2 linked regions of the Tribolium castaneum genome follow. The protein of the gene in region 1 purifies or fractionates together with the protein of each later gene. This does not show direct contact. Links are inferred from orthologs where the notes say so. Each region holds a gene or a part of one and is shown on either strand. Other genes may lie near its edges. The genes, in order: transcription initiation factor TFIID subunit 10 and Tbp.

Region 1 (2,977 bases):
TCGTTATTGTCAGTTTCCTCTTTTGATTCTTCTGTTTCTTTGGTTTCATTTAATTCTTGAGAGGCGTTGTGAACTTCACCATTGCCCAGTTTTAGTTCAGCATTTGTTGTTACAGAGGGTTCAGAATCGTTCGGTGCTAGTTTTAGAAATTTTTCCATCTCGTCCACTTCGTTTGCCATATCGAATTGGTCATAGTCCTAAAAAATGTTAACAGGACTTGTTAAAATGTACGTATGATGAGCGAATTTAGCTGATGTCATTCTAAATAAACATAAACATAGTAAATATTTGTTTGGAACATATGGTCTCTAACAGCTTTCATCTATTAGAATTAATCATGCAACATGAAAGTTTCATAATCGTGAACAGATAGATACAAGTCATTAATTATAATTTTTTATCAAGTTGGCTTCAAATAAGCAAATGGAACTGAGGTTACTTGATGGAAGGCATCATTATAATCAACTTATTATAATAACGATTATAAAGTCCAATTATTTCTTTTTACAGTGGCTTCTTGAATTTTCTTAGTATGGAAATGACGAATAATAAATATTAAAATGTTAATTAATCGAAATTTAACGATGTAATTCTAAATCAAACAAGGCTTAAAACATATTTGTGTTGGAATCGATGACGTAATCCGTTTAAAAGTAAACCAAAACAGAGGATAAAAATACAAATAAAAAAACTGAAATGAGACAAAGCAATTAATGGACTTCTTCCAATCTATTTTGAGTGCACGTTGATATGCACAAATGGTGTTGTGATAATGCTGATATGGCGAAAATCAATAAAAAATGCTCTTACCCCACAATAGACATCGTCGTTGAATATCTGTGGAGGTAGTGGATGCCTTGGATTAGGGTCACTGATTGTTGCCCCTGAAGACGTGGAATTGTTCTGCATGAAATCCTTTTTCTCCTCATTTTCGGGTTCGGCAATATCTATAACTTCATAATTGATATTTTTTGAATCTAAAATCAGAAGGACCCTTTGCTGTCTTTTCTTCACCTGTCAAAAGAACAGGTGTATTTTTATAAATTAACCAACAACGGACTGGGAAGAATTTACGGAACTTGGGGTTATTAGAACTGCACTTACCTCTTTATTGCCGGAAATGCCGCTAATGTAAACTTTGACTACCATTATTACTCAGTTTATATTGTAAAAATTGTAAATTTTCTCTAAACCTATTTGACAGCTTCTTTGGCAGTGTGGCGCCACACCTATTTTGGTACAGCAGGTTGATTGTCGATTGTTGTCATTAAGGGTCAGCCGAGAAACGAACCAATTCAAAAACTGGAGGCTAATTTTAGAATGCACTAACAAATTATTTGCAATTTATTTGTTGCTAAATTCTGTTATAACGGGCTGGTGAGAAACTAACGGCAGAAAAACTCATAAACCCAACGGTGAGTCATGTGCACTCACGCAAAATTTGTCACGACTTTTTAATAAACTGAAGGACTTTTATTGCAATTCTTGACGAAATTAAATCCAGGAATTCGTAAATTGTCAAGCAAAAAATACAACTAAACCTACAATCAACAAATTAGGTCATTTGAAAAAAGTGTAGATTTATATTTGTAAATGCAAGAAAAGCTTGTTACAATCAGTGAATAATGAACGAATAACAAATAAATAATTAAAATTTCAGGTAAAAAGTCAGGCAACTCAATATACGAATATCACAAAGACAATTTCGGTCTGTAGATTAAAGTAAGAGTTAAGAGTAGATCTGTTGTACAAAAAACTTGAGCTACTTGTCACAATTGTCAATCGTTGAAAATTGACAAAAATAAAAATTCATTTCAAACATTTTGTGTAATTTTTTTGACGACATGGCCGAGGCAAGCGATAAAATGATTGTGGACGATAATGAGCCTGCAACATTCGGTCAACCGTTGAGCAATTTTCTGCTCCAACTGGAAGACTACACCCCGACAGTAAGTCGCAAAATATTCCGTTTCACAAATCTTAGTTTTAATTACTAGATACCGGACGCTGTAACAGCCCATTTTTTACGAACTTCTGGATGTGAGGCAAAAGACCCGAGATTAATTCGACTGATTTCAATCGCTGCTCAAAAATTCATATCAGATATTGCGAATGATGCTCTCCAACATTGCAAAATGCGGTCTAGTAACTCGTCCAACAGTCATGGGGGCTCAAAGGTTTGGATATGTAGTGTGATAATCACATCTAACTTTTTTTTCTAGGGATCTAAAGGTTCCAAGGATAAGCGTTATTGTTTAACTATGGAGGATTTAACACCGGCTTTGGCCGAGTTTGGGATTACCATTAAAAAGCCACATTATTACGTGTAGTGTATTAGTTTATTTTTCTTGTATTCTTTCCAATAAAATTATTTAAAGTACAAGTGGTCTGAAACCTCCCAAATGTTAAGATCTTGCAACACTGGGATTGCTTTTGAGACATAATCACCACAATTCCGCTCAAAATTTTTAAAACACCTGTCCTCGTTTTTACATGAACATTTAATTTCCGAGTTCTTGGGTGACAATAAATTGGTTTTGTTCTCTCTGACGCAAGTTGAGTCTTTAATCGTCCGCAAATCATCAACACTAGGAGTCATAAATAACCCCAAATTTGGGTAAATAACAAAGGCAAAAATTGCCAACACTGTGAGGAGAAAAATAGGGATGGCAACAGCCCAGTATCTCTGAGGCAAACAAGTGATACCGACATACTTAAACCACTCTTCCGGAAGTACAGCCCAGGCTAAATACAAAATGAAAAAAGTCTTAAAACTGAGGAACATAGCAAAGCCGTAAACAGCCCTACTCGGAGTAGGGGCAGGTGTGTGTTCAGGCATTTTAAAAATGACTATAAGTGGAGCTAACAGGGTCACCAGCGAATTCAATAGTTTCACTCATCAGATTTAAATTATCGAAAAAACTAGAAACGGCGACGCGTAACTGGCGTGCTAATTGGGCACTAAATTTTCTATAAA
Region 2 (4,219 bases), on another chromosome or scaffold:
ATGTAACAAGTAGAGCAATTATGGAAGATTGTCACGATATATTTCTAGCACCGTATAACTGGGACTATGATAATCTCGAGTCTGATTTTAAAAATTCAGGGTTGGATCGAAACACAAATAATTGGAAATGTGTTGATGATTTCAACTGGTTGAATGTTGAAAGACAATCTCCAAATTGGTCGTTGTTAGATGAAGGGAAACTTGTAAAAAATTGGGATAATTCATAACGTAGTAATAAAAATTCGTAGTTTATTATGTTTTTGGAGCCCCGTAAGCATCAGGCATGCGTTCAATTGTATACCTATGTTGTGCAACATACATGATGGGAACACCCGGAATTTTCCGAATTCTGCGTTTCAAATCCTTATCATTCGTCGCAACAATGTAACACTTGTGTTGGGTGACCCTCTGGACTAGGCAATCATCAGCGTACGTCCCTTTATGCATGCACTTAATCCTCTCAAACCTCGGATCCTTTATTATCCTCAACGCCACTTTATACTTCTGACCTAATTTCTCTAATTCGCCCAAAACACAATCCGTAATATACGGAATACACTTAGCATACAAGCAGTCCATCATATTCTGAATAATATCCAACTTGTTCTTGATCGAAAAATTAATAAAGTTCGTATCAACCAAAATGTGATATGGAGGCCCCAGTTGGGTGTTGTATTGGAAAAAGAGCGCCGAACTAACTTGGGGCACCTCACGCACTTTCATTTCGTGTGGATCTTCGGGTTTTTTCTTGCGAGGAGGGGCCCTCTGGCTGGCTTTTATGCGAGGGTCGCTGGGACTGATCATTGTTTTCATTTTTGCAAACCGCTTCTGGGCGATTTTTCGCGTCTTCTTCGCCTTACCCTAAAAAACATTTCTATACGCTGTGCAAACACCAAAGCGAACTTTTTACCATCTTTTATTTTAAAATAAACACATGTAGAAAAAGTCAGGTTAAATATGCGTTGCCAACATTACAACACTAAATAAACAATCAGGGAGAGGTGAATAAATTAAATCCAAAATAATTGTTTGTGTGAAAAAACTGTTCCACTGACTCGAAATTTTTAAAAGGCGACATTGTGAGCGTGAGCCGTGAGTGTTATTTTTAAATTTATGATGCGAATTTGAGTGAGGTTAAGGCGGGCGTTGCCAACATTCTGGTTGATTTGTCCCCAAAAATTATGCTAGGAGAATAATTTATTAATTTGCTTCCAAATCCGTTTTTCCAGTGAAAAACAGTATTTTCGTGACGAAAACTCTGAAAGAGAACAATCAAGGAATGTTATTTTGTGTTTGTATGGTCTGAGTTCAAGTTTTTAAAAATTATAACCGTTTATGCTAAATGTTGACTATGATTTTATTGTTCAGTTAATTAGTTCGTTAATTAAAAAAGTGTAAAGACAACAAGTACCAAAATGGATCAAATGTTGCCAAGCCCCGGTTTCAGCATTCCTAGCATAGGTAAGTCTCGATTTTTCCTTCACACTTCCTTAGTGAGGCTTTAGGAACCCCCTTGCACCAGCCCGAGGAAGATCAGATGATTTTGCCCAATGCTCTGCAGCAACAACAGCAGCAGCAACCTTCCACAACATCACAGTCCCAACAAGTCCCGCCTTTGGCCCCAATGGGAGCCCTAACACCAACTCTGGGGTTGGGCATGGGCATGTCCATGCCCCATACGAAATATGCGGGCTTCGCCCTCCCCATCACGAGTATCCAGTCACAAACACCAGTACGTAACTAAATTATTGAATAATTGGAACGTTTAATTAAAATTTTAGCAACACACTATGATGTCCCCTATGGTGAATTTGGGGGGCTCAAGTGGTGCAGCGAACACCCCGTCGATGGGCCCCGCGACGCCGTCGCCCCTGACACCGATGACCCCGCATTCGGCCGACCCCAACATTGTCCCCCAATTACAGTAACAGTCCAAACTTTAGTAAAATTAGTTTGAATATTTTTTGCAGAAATATTGTCTCCACAGTTAACCTCAGCTGCAAGTTAGACTTGAAAAAAATCGCCCTTCACGCACGTAACGCTGAGTACAACCCCAAACGTTTCGCTGCAGTTATAATGAGAATCAGGGAGCCCCGAACTACTGCTCTTATTTTCTCTTCGGGAAAAATGGTCTGCACGGGGGCTAAAAGCGAGGACGACTCCAGACTAGCAGCGAGGAAATATGCGAGAATTATCCAAAAGCTGGGCTTCCCCGCGAAATTTTTAGACTTCAAGATTCAAAATATGGTGGGAAGTTGCGACGTTAAATTTCCGATCAGATTGGAAGGACTTGTCCTCACGCACAGTTCCTTCAGTTCGTATGAACCCGAGTTATTCCCCGGTTTAATTTACAGAATGGTTAAGCCCAGAATTGTACTACTTATTTTTGTCTCGGGTAAAGTTGTCTTGACTGGCGCCAAAATCAGGCAGGAGATTTACGAAGCCTTTGATAATATTTATCCAATCCTGAAAAGCTTCAAAAAGCAATAATTGCTTCATGTGCTACGTTTAATTGTTGACTGTAAGTGGGCCTTTTATATTGTTAATAGACGAGAATCAAAAATTGCTTTTATTTTTCCTTTTGACAAGTCCAATCTAACCTCAAAATTAGTTTTTTTACATTATTAATACATTATGCTGCACTAGAATACAATCAATCGAAAGGGAATGGAAAATTCCGCTCAGTACTTAAGTTCAAAACTGATAAGTAAATAATTAATTAAAGTTGATTATGGTTTACGAAAATTCAAATTTTTGCCACATAACCTCAAATTTTTTGCCAAAAAGAAAAAACTCGCTCGTTTTTGTCTTAAATGAAGAACAATAAACTCTAAAAAAGTGGAAGAATATCAGAAGACGGTACAAATTCCACGCCTTGTAAATACTGGAACTGATAAAAAGCGATGTCAAATTCCAACATGTTCAAGTAATTATTTTAATCTCTACAGTTCGGCGTAAAATAACAACAATGCCCATTTTACCAGGTGAGGCCACACGCCAATAATTGCGTTACTAATCGTAATTTTATCAGATAAAGTGCGAAATTTGGTGAAGAATGTTAGAAGTATGTTCCTAAAATGGTCAGTGCAAAGACCGATTTTGTCCATGTCTTTGGTGGTGATTTTGGCCGTTATCCTGCTCCCCGTGGTCACAGCAGCCACCCTAATGCCCGTTGCGCTATTGCTCACTTACACGGGAATTTTGGCGTCACAGGGAATTTTTTACATAACTTACAACATATTTATCCAAGGAATGCTACTAGCTATGGTAATTGTAGCCTTATTCGTTGTTGGTTTTACAATTGCAACAAGCGCGAGTGTTTTCCATTCATATACAATATTTAAAACGGTTACCATAAAGAAAAAGCAATAAATTTAAGTTTTTATTCGTTTTTATGTGCCATTTTTTCCATTAATGCCCATAATTTTCGTACTACTTGTTCCTCGCCTATTTCACCATAATTGAAGACTTCATAGTTTGGAGGGTTCGTCCGTACCATATCTGTTAGTTTATAAGGAATAAAGTTGTTAAAATGAACGGCTTGGTTTTTTTTTTAGAAAGGATACAGCCTGTGTTAGGTCTTGTATAATCAAATTGTGTTGCAGTTAATAACTTATACAAATATAAGGAGAGCCTGAAATAAATTCATTAGAGACCAACGTAAGAGTCATTTAAATTTCATACTTTAGGCTCTTAAGATTTTGCAGCTTATGATTATAAGTTTCGCACCGTTTTGTTGTTTCCCGGAGTTTATTTTTCTTTGCACCAAATTCGGTAGTTAAATTTGAAAGTTCCTCTTCCAGTTTATTCTATTTTTTTTACAAAGTTATCGTACAAGTAAAATTATTTTTTATACTTACGATTTCAGACTTTTCTTTTTCCAAAAGTTGAGCATTGTTATCCACGATTTCAAAGGCCCTTTCTACTTTACAATCAATCAAAGATTTAACGTTTGCACATATATTAAACAAATACCCTTCTAAAAAGACATAACAGAGTACAAAAATAGATTTAAAAAGATTGCACGTACCTTCTTCCACATGAGGTGTTAACTCATCGAGTGGGTGCAAAGATTCGGTAAAGCGATCGAGTTGTTCACTGCAAGATTGACTAATGGCTTTTATTATCGCCTCAAATTCTACAAGCTCCATTTTTTTGATTAAAACTAATATCAATTAATATTTTTGTAATGACAAGTCAGTCATAATAAAAGTTAAAA

Evidence for each region.
Region 2: the proteins of transcription initiation factor TFIID subunit 10 (region 1) and Tbp purify together in Drosophila melanogaster (affinity purification with western blotting; 3 studies listed by BioGRID). This does not show direct contact. The link is inferred for Tribolium castaneum from reciprocal best matches to the Drosophila melanogaster genes Taf10 and Tbp.

Annotation. Positions count from the first base shown.
Region 1 is NC_087398.1:382,738-385,714, forward strand, and holds transcription initiation factor TFIID subunit 10, read left to right. Parts: upstream 1-1,519; 5' UTR 1,520-1,559; intron 1,560-1,660; 5' UTR 1,661-1,844; coding exon 1,845-1,949; intron 1,950-1,997; coding exon 1,998-2,177; intron 2,178-2,222; coding exon 2,223-2,330; 3' UTR 2,331-2,383; downstream 2,384-2,977. Other genes in the region: Sh3beta (SH3 domain-binding glutamic acid-rich protein homolog), read right to left, coding at 1-197, 811-1,014, 1,105-1,149. UniProt on the Drosophila melanogaster protein: TFIID is a multimeric protein complex that plays a central role in mediating promoter responses to various activators and repressors.
Region 2 is NC_087402.1:9,986,811-9,991,029, forward strand, and holds Tbp (uncharacterized protein Tbp), read left to right. Parts: upstream 1-1,323; 5' UTR 1,324-1,415; coding exon 1,416-1,461; intron 1,462-1,505; coding exon 1,506-1,732; intron 1,733-1,781; coding exon 1,782-1,924; intron 1,925-1,970; coding exon 1,971-2,490; 3' UTR 2,491-2,984; intron 2,985-3,031; 3' UTR 3,032-3,537; downstream 3,538-4,219. Other genes in the region: Tbcc (tubulin-specific chaperone C), read left to right, coding at 1-227; Bka (rRNA-processing protein FCF1 homolog), read right to left, coding at 253-861, 911-913. UniProt on the Drosophila melanogaster protein: General transcription factor that functions at the core of the DNA-binding multiprotein factor TFIID.